Linked DNA regions of Alligator mississippiensis. The main gene of each other region encodes a partner of the protein of the gene in region 2 in a complex. Links are inferred from orthologs where the notes say so. Each region holds a gene or a part of one and is shown on either strand. Other genes may lie near its edges.

Region 1 (3,745 bases), on a different chromosome or scaffold from region 2:
CATGTGTTCTGTGACTAGGGATCCAATACAGCCCCTGCACTGGCCTTGACTGAGTGACTTTTTGTACTAGAATCAGTGGAATGAAGCTTCCCAGGTCTTGCCCATACTGAACACTATTCTTTCAGGCTAGTAAGAACCCCTCCCAACTTCTCAGCTCAGGAAGCTTTTTCTGTCCAAAGTCTTTGGTTTCTTATCTCTGAATTGGGCACATCTCCACTTTCTTCAAAGAATAAATGGAAGCAAGCCAGACAGATATCCAGCTCAGATCCCATTTGCATCTCCGCCAAGCCCCCAGGAAGGGAAACTGGAGATGCCCTCTCCCTCACCTCAGTCCATTACGAGGATCACAAAATGACTGCATGACTGATTCCCCATAAAGAATTCCTGCAAATCACCCAGCCTGTACAAGGGACACCATAGGCCAGGTATATTTAATCAAACATAAGTTTTCATGAGTGAACTGTCAGGTGAGAGTTTCAGTGTGACACTGTGTATTTAGATAAAAAGTGAGTAAAATGGAAAAATGATCACAGCATGAAATCCGCCCTTTATGTGGAGAGTCAAACAGAATCTATTTCATACGTAACAGTTGAGCAAGAGGGGAGCAGATCTGACACACAAGGAATTTCAGGAAGTCGGTCTGGCATGAGAGTTTATTTCGGCTTTGTACTAGAGACTTCACTGTGCTACTCATCACTGTAAATGAAGTAAGTCTTCAATTAATGTAGTGTTGAGTGTTGTCTTTCAGGTCATAAAGCAAATCAAACTGGCTTACCTTTTCATAATGTGTCTCCATGCACAAGAAGATAGTGTAGGCAGTCAGGCAGGCCAGACAACCTTCGAGATAAGATTGGCCCCCAAGTTTCTCGGCTTCTGCATACAGGTTATTCAGAGTTCGCACAGTCTCTTCAAACTGCTGCCGATCGATCTGCAGAAAAGTCCAAGTTCAGCAAGCATGCTCAGCAAGTGAGCTCCACTGACCTCCTGTACAGACATCCACCTCACTTTTACCTTTTACAGCTGTAACCTACACTGCCACTGAGAGACCGTTTGCTTCAAACAGGCACCGTGGAGAGAGCCACAGCTCCGTTTAGTATAAAACGGCCTCCAAAAACGGCAGCTCTTGTTCAATTTTCAGCTAAGCAATTACATCAAGAATGAATTCTACCACAACTGAAATGCTGTGCCCGCAAGCGAGCACAGATAAGAATTGGGGTCTGATGTGAAAAGAACAGATCAGAGGGAAACAGACTCGGGATTTAAACCACTATTCAATGAAAGAGCATATAGGCAAATCTCTATCTGAATAAGGCCTCAAGTATGGGGGATTGTTGCTCCAGTGCCAATCAAGCTTGTGAGTGATATAAACAAAGATGTATCAGATTTGATGTGAAAGAGAAGGCAAACGTAGCCTAAGTGATATTTGCCAACAACAAGAAATGCACAAAATATTTGACCAGGAGGAGTTACTCCACTAGTTGAAGGAAGTGTTGCAAATAACAAAACCCCGCACATTGATAGAAAATATAAGAGGGTGTTTGTGATGCTGCTGAAGCGCAGGCTCAACAGAACGGCCTTGTCAGAGGATGGGTTTCTATACAACAATACATGCCTTATTTCTCAGTGCCCCGGCTGCCCTTTGTGTTGTGACAAGGGCACAGATCAGAGAGAGAATCAAAACAGAAGGGTTTCATAATTGTTGGAAGTTAGACTTGTAGGCACATTTGTATGTCTAGATTTCTACATCACATTCAAAGTTCGGTATTTTCTAATTACTGTTTGCATAGGCAAGAAGCAAGAGTGTGGAGGGCATTTCTACTTCCCTGCCCACAGGAACCTACCCTTTATTTAACTACAAAATGTCCCTTTCAGCTAAAATCCCAAAGATCAGTTTAGGTCAATTTGAAGACAACTAATCATTTTGCAGACTTTTGTCCCCCAGGAAAGCAATGCTACCCAGCATGTAGAGGGAACAAGACTACTCGCCTTGCTCACTCAAAACAACAGCGTCAAGTAAACACAGGAGGACAGCCATCTGCTCTGGGCCATTTAGACAGGGACTATTTCATCTCGCTGCTGTCAGACAAACCGAGCCTCCCAAGCCACTTGTGTCAAAGCAGCGTGGCGTGACCTCGCACGCTCCGACACACCCGTGTCCCCAGACACTGTAGGTGCCCGGGGTGCAGGACACAGCCCTTAGCTCATACCGCAGGAGCTTTAACACCCGGGCTCTCGGCAGGCATTCGTGCCACCCTGGCGCGAGCATAGAAACGCTAAGAGCGGGGACCTCGGGGGCGACTGGAGCCGGAGGCTGAGGGTCAATCTGGCGGCTTTCGTCATGCTTTGTAACAGGGGCACTCCCACACGGCCGTGGCTTTAATTATATGTCTTTAATAAGCAGGTGCTTGGCACGAACCACTCATTCGTGAAACATGCTGTTTTCCAGGAGGAGCGAGCAGGAAGCGACAAGCAACTCGGCGGTGTCCTCCAACCTGCGACACGCACACCACTACCATTACTGTGTATGACCAACTTGGCAATTACTTTACGTGACCCAAACGTGCCGGGGGGACTTAAGGCGGTCCTATTTTAAGCCGCCATAACAGCTCCCGGGTGACAGCCCCCGGGCCGGCCTTACCCGCGTCTCCAGCTCGGCTGGGAACTTGGTCTGGAACTGGCAGCGGGTGCCGCTGCTGTAGTCGCGCTGCACGAACACCTTCCCCGACACGGGCGCCGGCTGCGGCCTCATAGCGCGGGCCTACGGGCACGGGCCGTCCGCCTGTCGCCGCCACCCCCGCGGGCCCGATCCCGGTCCCGGTCCCCGAGCCCTCCCTGCACGGGCCAAGCTTGCCCAGCCGCTGTCGCGCCGCGCGCAGCCTCACTTACGGCTGTCGCAAACGCGCCGTCACCCACCCGGGGGTGCGCATGCGTCAGTGGGGCGGGGCGGGGCGGTGGTGTGGGTGGTGCGTGCGCAGGCTTGTGGGCGCTGCCACGTGTGCGAGGCTTTGAGCCCGTCTCCTCGAGCGCCCGTCGGTTGTGGGTGCAGCATCTGCAACCCCCACAAGCCCCTCTCAGGGACTCTCAGCTTTGCTTCCTCAGGACCTCCAGATAAATGGTTCGGTTTGGATAGCCCGGTTCTGGCTCTCTCGCTTACCATGAGCAGCATACAGAAAAATACTTGTTTTACATATTTTTCGGGGTACGGTACTTTCCCCCCCCAGCAAATTACAATCATTTTTTGAGCTTTCAATGCAATCGTTTGGTATTTAAGATCTGGCCAAGCTAGGCTGGGCAGTGCAGCTGCAAGAGTGGGCCCGTGCATGGCGGCCCCCTCATGGCCCGCTTCTGTCGCACACAATGTGTTGTGGTGCAGGGTAGCAGGAGCGTGGTGACCCCCCCTTGGCACAGCACAAGGGACACAGGGGTGCGGGACTCCCCAGCAGCTGCTCCGCCGCCTCTGTCAAGCTGTGGGCAAACTGCCCAGCATCCCGGCTTGAGGCACACGGTGCTCCTGTTGCACAGGCGTGTTCTGCGCTGTTGCAGCAGGGGATGAGCAAGCACAGCTTGCAGTGCCTTCGCCTCCCCCAGCTCTGTCGCTGTCCACACGCACTGCTTTGGGGCACCACGCTGCACCCCGGTGTCCTCTGCTGCCCCACTTAATCCTGTGCCCAGAGAAGTGGGGGTTGAATATGTCACACAGTAAGGCACTGGCACCCTGACCCCAGGAAGGAGGCATCCTGCTGGG
Region 2 (3,745 bases):
CAAAGTCTCCCACTTCTCTTTAGTGTCTGCCTTGGTTCTGGATCTCAGAGACATTTATACAACCTGTCATATTACCCAGGGAATCATTCAGGACAGTCAATGCAAGTGCCCTTGGGGAAGCAAGGTAAAACTCAGCAGAGTCTGTGCCCCTAAGGAATCAGCTGTAAACAAATACCAAGGAATGTGCAAAATTGTAATCATCTGGAGACAGCGTATAGGCCATTCACAAAAGAAACTCTTTTCTCTTAAGTCTCCACCCCCAGATACAAACCATGTGACAACACGAATGGAGTAAAGGTTAGTCATTAACTGAAGGTCTGGTCTGCGCCTTCCATACTGATTCCATTTCAAGTTGACCAATTCCCACCCCCCTCAAACACAACAATAAAAATGACAGTCAATTTATGTGAGACTGAAATATAACTGGAACAATAAGTTGACTGTGATTTTTATTGTTTTTTGGAGGAAGGAAAAAAACATTGACTTAATCAGAACTATACAGTCCGATTATACAGAACAGGCAATTCAACTGAGGACTTGCAAGGGCCAAGCAAAGGACTCGCAGGCTCTACTGCCAGGAAGCACAGTAGCAAAAACTCTTCTGTCAACTTATACCATGTCTCCTCTAGGGGCTCTGCCAATATGGCTATGCCAGCACAGCTGAAGTGGCAGGAGCTCCATAATGCAATAGGCCCCAAGTATATTCAAGGAGCCTTACTACCATCACCAATTACGTTCAAGACACTCCTGAAGCAAGCGGTTGCTTATGAAAGCTTATGCATCTCTGATTTAGTCTATAAGATGCAACTCTACTCTGTCTTCTGTTCCCACATATGCCACATGAAGAGAAAGTTGCAATAACGAGGAAACAAGGTCGTCTGTACAAGTTATGCCAATGTAACCAAAGTCATTTTAAAAATAGTTGAAACAGCACAACTTGAGCCTCCGTAGAAAGATATCTTATACTAATGAGGTGCTGTAGGATGCCTACTGAAGCCAACCCCAAGACACAAAATCTCATGCCCCATCTGCTTTTCCTTTCTACCAATGTCATGCCACAGGCTGAGAATCTCTGAAGGGGGCTTTCTTAAAAGAATAAAATTAACTTGGCTCCACCAGTGCCCTAGGAGCTCAAGCACTTACAAAACTGAAGCTGGTGCACTGCACCCAACTGGTAAGAGCGTCATAGGTCAGCAGCAAATGTTTTCTTTATCCCTTAATTCAAATCCCAGCCAACATGACCCAGCAATAGTGGTCAAATTCACGCTCTCACTATCAACCTATGACAGTGACTTTAGCCCCACAGACGCCTGCACGAGCAGGGATCTCAGCCTGCTATGAACTCACTCAAAAGCAAAGAAGAGGGCACAAGTGCCAAGAATGAGGAAGAGTGTCAAGTAGAAGATGCCTTTCTGCCGGGCCATCATGATGCGACCGTCGCAACAGAAGGTGTTCCTGCCCGGCAGCTTTTCCCATTTCCGAATCACTTTCCTCCTTGCCACCATCACAGACATGGTCGCACATTCACAGGGAGGCAGGCAACCAAGCAACGTCCAGGCTCTGCTCCAAACTTGTTGGTACACACAGCATCCTCAGAGTCCAGGCATCATTTGCTAAAGAAACTGGGAAGACAAGAATGCATCAGCGTGGTCTGATAACCCCCTTGAATGTGTCAACTGAGGGAACTCTCCAAGCTGATGACAAATGGTGCTCCCTCCTTCCCACCAGCTCCGTTCCAGCTCCCCCATACACAAGACGCACAGAGGGGGAAAGCAGGCAGTCTGGGACTGCTTGCCTGCATGGGAGTATTCCTGGCACCCCACTGTTGCCCCATGCTAGTGCCTCGTTCAAGCTCAGGACTCAGGGGCCACAGCCTGCAACTCCCAGGGCAGGGCTGCACTGGCCTCAGCGTGGCTGAGGGGAAGCAAGTCACACGGGAGTGAAGCTGCTGGAGAAGGGTCACACAGGAAGCCTGTGAGTGGAGTTCCGGCCGGAGGGGCTGCCCGTGCCTCAGCCCCGCTCTCTGCCGGCCCTGGCGTGGGGTCGGGGCCCGGGCTCAGCCTCCAGAAGCCGCGACACCGGCAAGGGAAGAGCCTGCATCTCACCGCTCCCCCTCGGGAGCCAGCAGTGGAGCGCAGCAGCCCACCCGCCCCGAGTCCGGGCTCCGAGCGGCCTGGGCAGGAGGCGCGTCCCGAGCCAGGCGCCGCGCCGAGCGCGAGGAGCCGCGGGCCTTGCACAAAGGGCGGCCGGGGAGGCTCCGCTCCCGCCTCCCGCGCCCCGACCGGCCCGGGGGGCGCACAAAGGCCCCGAGCGCAGCGCGGCACGGACCAGGACCCACCCCCACGGCGGCGGCCGCACGTGCCAAGGACAATGCCCGCCGCCCCAGGCCGGGCCGGGCCGGGCCGGGCCCGCCGCACTCCAGCACACGGCGCTGCCCGGCCCCGGTCCCGACTCGCGGCGCGGCCCGACCCGGCCCGGCCCAGCCCGGCCTCTTACCTGTCGGTGCCTGCCTCTGCCCCGGGCGAGGCCGGGCGGGCCGCTCGCCGCCGCTGGGCTGCGGGTGGGAACTGGGAGCGCCCCGCCCCGCATGGCTGAGGAAGGAGGGGTAGCAGTTCCCATTGGTCCGGCCGGGACGAGGCTCCGCCCAGGAGCCTTTTGGCGCAGTCTATTGGCTAAGGGGCCTGTCACTCCCGCGCCCCAGGCTCGCAGCCGCCCAGAGGGCGGGGCCGGAGGGAGCCTACGTCCGGGGCCCGGCCCGGGTCTTCCTCCAACTGCTCTGCTCGCCCCGCCCCGCCCCGCCCCCGGTCGCAGGCTTTGCCTTAGCGGCTCTGGGTGGGGAAAGGGGGTTTCTCTCCTCTTGCTCCCCCGAAGGCTGCCCGGAGAGAGGCTGCAGCCCCCAGCCCACACGCAGCGTCATCGTTTTCTGGGGGACACGTCCTCTCCGCCCCATGGGAAGGGTCTCCCTGCCTAGAGGATGACCTGACCGCTTCCAAGGAGCCCCTGCAGGCCCAGTCCCTTCTGCCGCCTTCATGTCAGCTGGGCGCGTGTCAGAGCCCGCGCGCACGTTTGCACCCGACCCAGCCCTCGCCTGCCATGTCTAACCCCACCAGGTCAACACACGCCCAGAGGCCACAGAAGGGCAAGCAGGATCCTCATGGTGCTTGGAGCAGCGCATGCCCCTCTGCCTAAGGCTGAGGTGCTGTCCTAGTGAGCCAGGGTCAGAGTCATGCCAGGCTAGGGTACACCAGGCTCCCTGTACTCAAGATGACATGGTGACAACACTTGTCCACGACCTAGCCAAGCCCAACAGTATGGTAGATCCTGGACAAAGGGTGTAAAATGGAAGCTTAATTCAATGTTTTGAGGCACAAGCTTAATTTCTGGTTCTGGCAATGCCAGCTAATTGTACAGTTTGAGGCCTTGAACAAAGCATGGGACAGAGGGCATCTTTCTCATAAATTTAGTCAAAATGTGGCTTGGAGCAACATCCTGTAATCAAAATGTTGTGTTGTGCGGTACAACCTCCCGCACTCCCATCAAGGTTCTCTTTGCACATTCTGAGAGCAGCTGAAAAGGCCAGGCGCTTTCTCTTTCCACTCACCACAGCATGCAGTCAAATACACAGGCACTTCAGCTTGGTCTCAGGCATGCTAAGGAGTGCACTCTACTTGGGTACTATATCCATTTCTTACAGCATAAAATGTGTACTTGATATCCCCTTAGCGCCCTGACAGGTGGCTCAGAG

The links.
Region 1: the proteins of ZDHHC9 (region 2) and GOLGA7 are in contact, whole or in part, in a cryo-EM structure (PDB 8HF3), measured with the Homo sapiens proteins. The link is inferred for Alligator mississippiensis from reciprocal best matches to the Homo sapiens genes ZDHHC9 and GOLGA7. Residues at the interface, in NP_001008223.1 of Homo sapiens: Phe78, Ala81, Arg85, Ile94, Pro95, Leu98, Asp100, Glu101, Phe104, Ile105, Phe129, Gln130, Ile131, Asn132, Ile146, Pro149, Pro150, Arg182, Tyr183, Leu186, Tyr274, Lys281, Cys284, Glu285, Leu287, Cys288, Gly289, Pro290, Leu291, Pro292; in NP_001002296.1 of Homo sapiens: Lys11, Phe13, Gln15, Tyr18, Ser19, Ser20, Gly21, Thr22, Ala57, Glu58, Leu60, Ser64, Tyr65, Gly68, Cys72, Ala75, Tyr76, Thr77, Phe79, Leu80, Tyr86, Glu87, Leu90, Ile116, Arg118, Gly119, Arg121, Val122.

What each region holds. Positions count from the first base shown.
Region 1 is NC_081830.1:17,408,255-17,411,999, forward strand, and holds the start of GOLGA7 (golgin subfamily A member 7), read right to left. Parts: upstream 2,876-3,745; 5' UTR 2,750-2,875; coding exon 2,639-2,749; intron 929-2,638; coding exon 776-928; intron 1-775. UniProt on the Homo sapiens protein: May be involved in protein transport from Golgi to cell surface. The ZDHHC9-GOLGA7 complex is a palmitoyltransferase specific for HRAS and NRAS.
Region 2 is NC_081831.1:39,919,439-39,923,183, forward strand, and holds the start of ZDHHC9 (palmitoyltransferase ZDHHC9), read right to left. Parts: upstream 2,587-3,745; 5' UTR 2,497-2,586; intron 1,623-2,496; 5' UTR 1,515-1,622; coding exon 1,348-1,514; intron 1-1,347. UniProt on the Homo sapiens protein: Palmitoyltransferase that catalyzes the addition of palmitate onto various protein substrates, such as ADRB2, GSDMD, HRAS, NRAS and CGAS. The ZDHHC9-GOLGA7 complex is a palmitoyltransferase specific for HRAS and NRAS.